Danio rerio: one gene and its partner. The protein of the gene in region 2 binds, or shares a complex with, the protein of the main gene of each other region. Links are inferred from orthologs where the notes say so. Each region holds a gene or a part of one and is shown on either strand. Other genes may lie near its edges. The genes, in order: cplane2 and fuz.

Region 1 (4,336 bases), on a different chromosome or scaffold from region 2:
ATATTAATGTCTTGGCTTCAAAATTTTTAATGTTGTGCTTTACCTAGTTTTTTTTACTTACAATGCTTTTAAAAAACAATATGAAAGAAATACTCAGAAAAAAATGTTTCCAGAAGCAAGACTGCCAATAAAATGGGTGGAAATTAATTACAGCTAATGTTTAATTATGTTTATCACCACGTATTGTAAATTAATAATAATAATTCCTTACATTTATATAGCGCTTTTCTGAACACTCAAAGTGCTTTACACATTTTTGGTGGGAATCACCTCATCCACCACCAGTGTGCAGCATTCACCTGAATGACACAACAGCAACTACAATGCACCAGAATGCTCCCACACACCATGAGGAGAGGGGACAGAGTAATAAAGCCAATTATGATATGGGGATGGTTAGGAGGCAGTGGGCAAATTTGAAACTTTTAAAAACCCTTTTTCAAAGGACACAGGGAGTCAGTACCTCGGTTTAATATCTCATCTGAAAAGACATCACTCACTGAGCGGTATAAAGCCCCAATCAACATACTGGGGCATTAGGACCCACACACTGGTTGAGCGCCCCCTGCTGTTCTCACTAACACCATTTCTAGCAGCAACCTAGCTTTCACATGTGGTTTCCCATCCAGGTCCTGACCAGGTGCAGCCCTGCTTAGCTTTAAGGCCTGTTTCCTCTGAGTGGTACAGTACGGTATGGTTCGGTTTGGTACGCTTTTATGGCCGTTTCCACTGTCAAAAGGCATACCTAACCAAACCGTACCGTACCACTTTTTCAGCACCTTTTCGAAAGGGTCCCAAACACAAGAAAGGGTACCAAAAGGCGGAGCTAGGCGCGCAGCTGATTATGTCATTCGTTTACGCAACAAAAAGCCAGAATGTAAACAAAGTCCATGTTTGAAATACACAGTGAGAGATTTATATATACATATAATAACTAGCCATGGTCGATCCGGGCTTAAACAAACCTTGTCGTCGTCTTGATGAACAGCCACAAACCCATGGAGTAGAGCAGAATCTACCCTGTGCCGCATAGTTTTTTACGAGCCAGTCTGTAGCATGAGCGGTTTCGCTTTCTTGCTTGCGCTTGCCACGCATCTATATCTGAAATAACAAACTTCTTGAGCTGATGATAATAACGTGCGCTTGATTATTGACAAGCTTTGGAAACCCGATCTTGTGAGAAGCTGACAAACTTGAGAATGACACATTCAGAAAGAAAAGGACAAACGCGAGAGTGGAGGGCGGAAAAAAAGGGGAAGCAAAGTAACACGTTATTTCTTTAGCCAACGTGAACAAACTGCCTTGTTTTATTTTTTATCATCACCTTTTGGACTAATACGAACTGGGAATGATGGAATGACTCTCTAACAGAGGCTGCATGAGCTGCTGAAGATTACAGACACAGATGAGAGGTTTTCACTGACTGTAGGCTATACTTTGTTTTGTTTTGAACCTAATTAAGGACGAATTGTATGCTGTGTGTACTTTTTCTGTAGTTGGTAACATATCGGGGACTGTAAGGGGCTGTATGTGTTCATATATGTTCATTTGTTTATTTTTTTAATATAATTACAGACGTTGCAGTAGACTATTTCGCAGTGTCATTGATCTGCAGTTATAATCAACTCATGTTCATAGAGAAGTTAGTAATAAACATTTATACACAAATATTTATGTGTAAAGCATTGTGAGAAGTGCTTTTCATATGATATGCGAGCGACCCCTAAAGCTTTATTGTAGACATTTTCTCAAGCGAAAATGACGTCGACTGAAACTTTGTCATTCAGCACGCCCACCAAAAGGGTACCCTTGGTAGTGGAAACGCAAGCCTGATAAGGTGACCCGTACTGACCCGAACCGTACCGTACTGTACCAGTCAGTGGAAACAAGCCATTAGTGAGCAACCATGTGCGAGTTGCAGAAAGTTAGCTCTCGGATGGGATGATATCTTGAAAGCTTGACGTTATCAATATCATTGTTGAAAAAATACTGGATGTTATTATTAAGCATGTTTGTCATAGATTTTTTTTTATTTGTTCAACAATTAAGAGTGTTTTGATATGGCTGCACACAATCCCAGTAACACAATTTTGGGGTTTAACACCATTTTTGTTCAGTCTAATGTAAAAGAAAAGAAAGCGTTTATTTCATAGGATTTGATCAGTTTGTGTTTGCTTTAAATTAAATACTTTTTACAAATCGTTCTCTTAATTTGTATTTTTTTTCTGCTACACTGAGCCATAAATTTCCACTTCAGCAGCATTTACATCTGCATTCTGAATGTTTTTAAAGAGGGATATGCTAATACATAATTAATTTTCCGGATAATATGATTAACATTCTGTTCCACAAATAAATTTGTAAATGTATAGTATTTCTGGCTTCTGTTATTTGGTATTTTCTCTATTATGGAGTGGCAAAAATAGCTAACCAAAATCCCCTTAGCAACCGTTGCCTCAAAGGTGTCATCAATAAAAACATAAATAGGTCTAAATAAATATTAATAATACCTTAATTTCCCTGCAAATGTCCGAGGTGAAAACAATAATTTAAAAAATAAGAAGAAACGTGATTATGAGTCTGATTTGTGTTGGTTTGCTTACCTGTGGTCTCGTAGTGCATTTTGGGCAGGTCGAGTCCAGCGAGACGGGCAGCAAGCGCGCTCTTCCCCACTCCAGTTTTACCTGAGAGAAACACCTTGTAGCGAACGAGGTCCACATTCATCTGAGGAGGCATCATTGGCGCCTCTAAGAGCCCTTCACGTTATTTTAACAAAACCGAAATAATAATTTATTTTTATGTTGACTACAGCAAAAAAGCGAACAAACTATAAGTGATGCCTATTAAGTTACATTAGTGCTGTATCCATGGTCATCATCCTTACCAAACTTTCGCCGTCTCTTCTTGTGCAGTATTTTGCTGAAAAACTCTCTGCTATCAGGACAGCGGTGCCAGTCTGACACGATAATGGATCCAGGTGGGACAGACATTTTAATTTAACACAAGTGCAGAAAGATATTGTGCACTGTATTGTGTGATATCAAGTAACTTTCTATTCGCGAACGTGAAGCCATCTGATTTGAACATCAAAATGTAATACGTCAAAATAAAAGTCCGTTATTAAACGCCTAAAATCGTGTAAAACTACTGATAAACTGAACTGAAGCTGAACTAGCAAACATGTTAAAGATGAGTCAAAATGGACATTTATTATTATAGAATATTTTAGGATTTATCATATTATGTAATTAATTCGTTCATATTTTCTTTCCAACTAGAGATGACACCTCTTTTTTTCAATGGCAAATATGTGTTTATATTTTAAATGAACGCAAAAAGGACTTTTTTATACATAAAACCAGCAACTTGTTTTTATTCTGCTTTGTCATTCACAATGTAGTTCTTTCCCATGTCTTTTATCTTTGCCATTTTATCCAGCCCATTTCCCCTGGTCAAGACATTACAAATTCTGATTAACAAAGAAGTTGCTTATATGCAAATCAATAGTCTTCTTTTCTGAGGGAAAGAACTACAATCCTATGAAGCATTGTGAATGAAACAAAATATTCGACATAAAACTTCCAGTTAGTATAAAATTGTTGACTGAATAGAAACAATATATTTGTAATTATTTGTAAAAACTTGTATTGTAGAATAAGCAGTGCTGCATGGTGGGTGGGAAGAATTAAAGATCTATTTTGGTGCACTTCGATTGCTGAAGAAATTTAAATTTGTTGAATGTTATGGGTAATGTAGTTTTTGGCCTAAATTCCACTATTATCCAAATAATAGTGCTTGAACTATAGTACTTGAACTGATAAAAACAGATGGGTTCAACTAAAGCACACACAACAACCTCAAAACCATCTGTATTTAAAGGCTTAAGTGTTATTGATAAAAATATGAGTAACTCCAAATGTTGTGCTCTATATAAATCACAATCCGATCAATTCTAAGCAGACAAAAAGGAATTCTCACCCTACATTTTCTTCTTATTCGGTATTTAAAATAGGTAAGGACATACTAGCAAACTAAGATGAAACCAGACCATGAAATTAAATGTACAGGTGTATTAGTACATCATGTTATCTTTATTGAGAGGCCACAGCTCTTGCATATTACAACTGTTGGCTTTGATAAGGCAAACGCAAGAATGAATCCACCAGCTAATCGACAAAGAAAAACAAAAAAGCTTTTGGAGAAGGTGGATCCCACAGGCATGCAGCAATGGCTCAGAATGCAATGTACAGCATCATATATACAAAACCAAAAGTGAGACCCCAAAAAATGGCACATAGCATTTTCGACAGACCTACTAACATAAAGAGAATGACTT
Region 2 (4,323 bases):
ACACGTTGCTCAGTGACATTGACACCTCCAAATGATGTTGAATGAGTCACATACTGTATTTATAAGGTATAATTCACCTAAAAATGTCATTTTTGTTTTTTTGCGATCTGGAAATCACACGTGACATGAGCTGCTGACCGTGAGCTGTTATCACAGAGAGGGCGCTCTACTTAATGATAGACGCGCACGTCTACTTTAATGAACAGAACCTGCATATGTTGTGAGTAACAGGTAATACAGTTGTAAATAATATTCAGTTTGTGGCACAGATTGATCGTTTGGGAGCCGCGCGCAAAGTATGAACAAGCACTTAGCAGTCAGAATGAAACCGAAAGTGTGCACTTCATTTAAATGATCACATCGCATTTTAGAGTTATGATTACGACAAGCATTTGATGTGTTTTCTTTCATAGCGAACACACAGTTGTGCATGAAAATAAATGTTTACAATGTCAGTATAACTACTCTAGCTTATATATTGCTGAATATAATCTGATGATGGCAAATGTCTGATTTTACCAGTGAATTAAATAGTCTAATATGACAGATTGCAAGCATATATCTCAAACATAATAATTCAACGTCAGAATTATTATAAGTAGAATAGAATTATTTATAGACACCAGTAGACCTACACATAATATTATTAGCGATGTTGTGCCATATGTCTGTTTTTACCATTCCTTTATTTTACATCTACAGAATCGTGAGAAAATGGTGATCTTTATTTTAAGCAAAAAAAATCGCGATTCTTATTTTATCCAGAATCGTGCAGCTCTAATTCAGCTTAAAGGCTTAACTAGGTTAAGGGCAACTTAGGGTAATTAGGCAAGTCCCTAGCCCCTTTCACACAGCGATAGTGGTAAATATCCGGAAAATTACCAGAACGACTTTACCGGTAAATTCTAAAAAGCGCTGTTCACACAGGCAAAGACGTTCCGGATTTTTTTGTAAACATAGAAGGGGTTCAAGTTTTTGTTGATGATTTCACATTTACAGGTGAAACCAGAAGTTTACTTACACTTTAAAAAAAAAGTAACATAACCATTTAAAAAAACAATGTCTGATGGTAAATCATACTAAACGTTTACTATTTTAGGTCCGTTAGGATTACCTACATGATTTACATTTGCTAAATGCCAGAATAATGAGAGAAAATTTGTAAAGAATTTTTTTTTATAATTTCTAGACCAGGGATGGGCAAACTTGGTCCTTGAGGGCCGGTGTCCCTGCAGAGTTTTGTTCCAACACTAGTCAAACACACCTGAACAAACTCATCAGTGTCTTCAAGATCACTTGAACTCTACAGGGAGGTCTGTTTGAATAGGGTTGGAGCTAAACTATGCAGGACACTGGCCCTCCAGGATCCTGTTTGCCCACACCTGTTCTAGACAGTCAAAAGTTTACAGTTTCTACAGTTGTGCCTCCAATTAACTCAAATGTTGTCAGCTAGCCAATCAGAAACTCCAAAAACCTTTACACCATCCTTTAAGCTTTTTTAGAGGCATAATAATCGTATTTTATATAATCTTGACTTTCAAAAAAAGTTTCTCAAAAAATATCTCTTATAATTCTGCTATTAAGCAGAACAGAAACAAATATGATAAACCTAACTTACGAAAAGAGAAAAAGATTACTCACATTGACATCTGACTAAAGTGCCTTTTTATACAGTGTATGTAAACTTCTGGTATCAACTGGTTTAAAAAGCCATTTGAGGAAGGGTAAAAAGTGAGTAAAATGTAACTCTGTGGTGAACTATCCCTTTAACTAAAACTTAAGTCAAGGCAAAGTTGGATTTATATTCACATATTTGGACTTTCTCCTTGATAATATAACTTTATAAACTACTCTTGAAAAATCATTAGCAGCCAATGACCAAGAGACAAAGTAACTTACAATAGTGAATTCACAGTTAAATAAATATTGCTAATGTTGTTTTGAAGTCATACTTGCATATTATGTCAGACCGAGTATTCAAAGTACCATGGAAAACATTAGGAGCACGTCAAAAGTTGTCACTGAGCGAATTTGTGAATGTAAAAGAGCAATTCCGTGCAAATGTCAACCTTGCCATGAAAAAAAAATTAAGTTTTTACCAAAATACGGAAAACCATTTCTGTTTTTTTGTGTAGGCAAGTATTTTACAGTACTTTAAAAATACTCAAAAAGCATCTGTTAATGTTTTCAAACTATTACTATTTGATTTACCAAAGTCACACAAATGGTAATTTCACATGCGTCACATCCATAACAGAGAGATGTCACATCCATAACAACACTTTTTCATCAGAAATGTGAAAATATTAAATAAAATAAAACCAATCATTTTTGTTTTATAGAGAGCCGACTCAAATCCTTTTGATTAGCATTATTTCTTTTGGGTTGTGCAGTTTAATTCACATAATTTCTACAAAGTGTGTTGTATACTGTAAACTCGCAGACTTTTTTTTGTCACATCCATAAGGCATGCTTATTTTCCACATTTAAAGTACAAAACACGTTTACAGATTGATATTTTTCTGCTCCCATAACTTTGTGGCTAGTTGCTCTAGAAAATATAATCAAATTTTTCAATAAAATGTTAACATATACTTTCTCTGTCAATTTATGGGTTGAGTTTTTACTGCAAATGTCACATCCATAACGCTGGAATTGCTCAAAACCAACTTTACGTCAGTCTTTAAAGAAAATCACCTCACCCAAACGGGAAAATCTGGTCTTCATGCAAAATGGACGAGCAAACACAACACACGATTCAGAATTACATTTGGCATGCTTCATTATGCAAAACGTTATACAAAACTAATCTGCTAATCCACACTGAGGCATTTTATCGTGTAAATTTAATAAGCGTTCGCTAAAATACGTTGAGTAGGAAATAATAACATAATAACATAATAATAAAAACATTTGTGTCTTGTCTCACCTGAATTATAAAGTTGCAAATGTAGCGTCTCCACAGCAACATCTCTGACAACAACAGCCACAGCGCTTCCTTCTTCTTCGCAACTCGATGAAAGTTTTTGGGTAACAATAAGATCCACTCCGCCATCTTCCGGAGACTTCAAGTGTGTGCAAGGAGAAAAAACTTCATTCATGTTAGTATTTTTCTTGGTTTTATGGCAAGTTTTTTTGTGTTTTTTATGTTATTATTGGTAATGTTTCAATTTATTAAAGGGATAGTTCGCCCAATAATAAAAAGTGTAGTCATGTTTCCTCAACCTCAAGTGGTTTCAAATCCATTTGTGCTTCTGTCATGTTGAACACAGTCCGTGCAATTTTCATCCCAGCTTTCTAATCATTTGTTCTGAACAGAAGAAATCAAACCAGTTTAGATCAAGTGACCCTGCTGAAAAATTCAGCTTAAACCAGCCTAGGCTGGTTGGCTGGTTTTAAAGGGATTTTGGCCATTTCCAGCCTGGTTTTAGCTGGTCAGGCTGGAAAATGACCAGCTAAATCCAGCTAAAACCAACTTGACCAGCCTGGTTTAAGCTGAATATAGCTGGTTTTAACTGGGCTCCTAGCCTGGCTAGGCTGGTCAAGCTGGTCATCTCTCAGCCTGACCAGCTAAGACCAGGTTGGAAATGGCTGGAAACCAACCTGGAAATGGCCAAAACCCCTCTAAAACCAGCCTGGTCGACCAGCTATAACCAGCCAACCAGCCTGGGCTGGTTTAAGCTGTTTTTTTCACTAGGACATTGAGTAAATGATTACAGAATTAAGACATTTGGGTGAACTGTCTCTGCAGACCATTTCAATGTGGTCATGTCATTGGTCAAGAGGCAATTTAATTATAATGTTAAAACAGCCATCATAACCAATATGTGGCTCTTGGATTCTCAGAAGCTAAGTTAAAATGTAAAACAGAAAATACATTAATTGGGACCATTGTTTGTTTACATCTCTCAAAATGGTCTATGGTTCAGGCCGAGTTGCATTCTTTGTGTCTTTATGTTATTATTGGTAATGTTTCGGATCATTTAAAGAGATAGTTCACCCATTACCGAAAATGTACTCACTGTTTACTCGAACTCAAGGGGTTTAAATCAGTTTGAGTTCATTTCTCCAATTGAAAACAGTCCATGAAATTTCCAAGCTTCCAAATTTCTTCAGTATATTCCTTTGTTCTTGACAGAAGAAATTTGTACGAGTTTAGAACAAGTGTATGAGTAAATGATTGCAGAATTAAGAAATTTGAGTGAACTGTCTGCAGACCATTTCAACGTGGTCATGTCATTGGCCCATGAACATTGCTTATTATCAAACCATTTCATATAACTGCAACAAGAGGCAATTTAATCATAACTTAATGTTAAAACA

What was found.
Region 1: the proteins of fuz (region 2) and cplane2 are in contact, whole or in part, in a cryo-EM structure (PDB 7Q3E), measured with the Mus musculus proteins. The link is inferred for Danio rerio from reciprocal best matches to the Homo sapiens genes FUZ and CPLANE2. Residues at the interface, in NP_081652.2 of Mus musculus: Arg26, Arg35, Ile109, Val110, Lys126, Glu127, Arg129, Ala130, Tyr132, Cys133, Asp136, Gln215, Ala216, Ala217, Arg218, Asp219, Tyr220, Pro221, Tyr223, Pro232, Leu238, Thr239, Leu240, Leu241, Arg242, Pro255, Leu256, Gly257, Gln258, Pro261; in NP_001074643.1 of Mus musculus: Glu36, Gly38, Leu39, Leu40, Glu41, Arg42, Val83, His84, His85, Glu86, Thr88, Gly89, Ile90, Gln91, Thr92, Thr93, Val94, Lys124, Phe125, Met128, Glu134.

Annotation. Positions count from the first base shown.
Region 1 is NC_133181.1:44,001,389-44,005,724, reverse strand, and holds the start of cplane2 (ciliogenesis and planar polarity effector 2), read right to left. Parts: upstream 3,061-4,336; 5' UTR 2,991-3,060; coding exon 2,885-2,990; intron 2,757-2,884; coding exon 2,604-2,756; exon of another isoform or gene 2,511-2,603; intron 1-2,510. UniProt on the Homo sapiens protein: Required for efficient primary cilia initiation, regulating a late step in cilia initiation. Plays a role in the final maturation of the mother centriole and ciliary vesicle that allows extension of the ciliary axoneme.
Region 2 is NC_133177.1:3,682,209-3,686,531, reverse strand, and holds the start of fuz (protein fuzzy homolog), read right to left. Parts: upstream 3,011-4,323; 5' UTR 2,930-3,010; intron 1-2,929. UniProt on the Homo sapiens protein: Probable planar cell polarity effector involved in cilium biogenesis. May regulate protein and membrane transport to the cilium.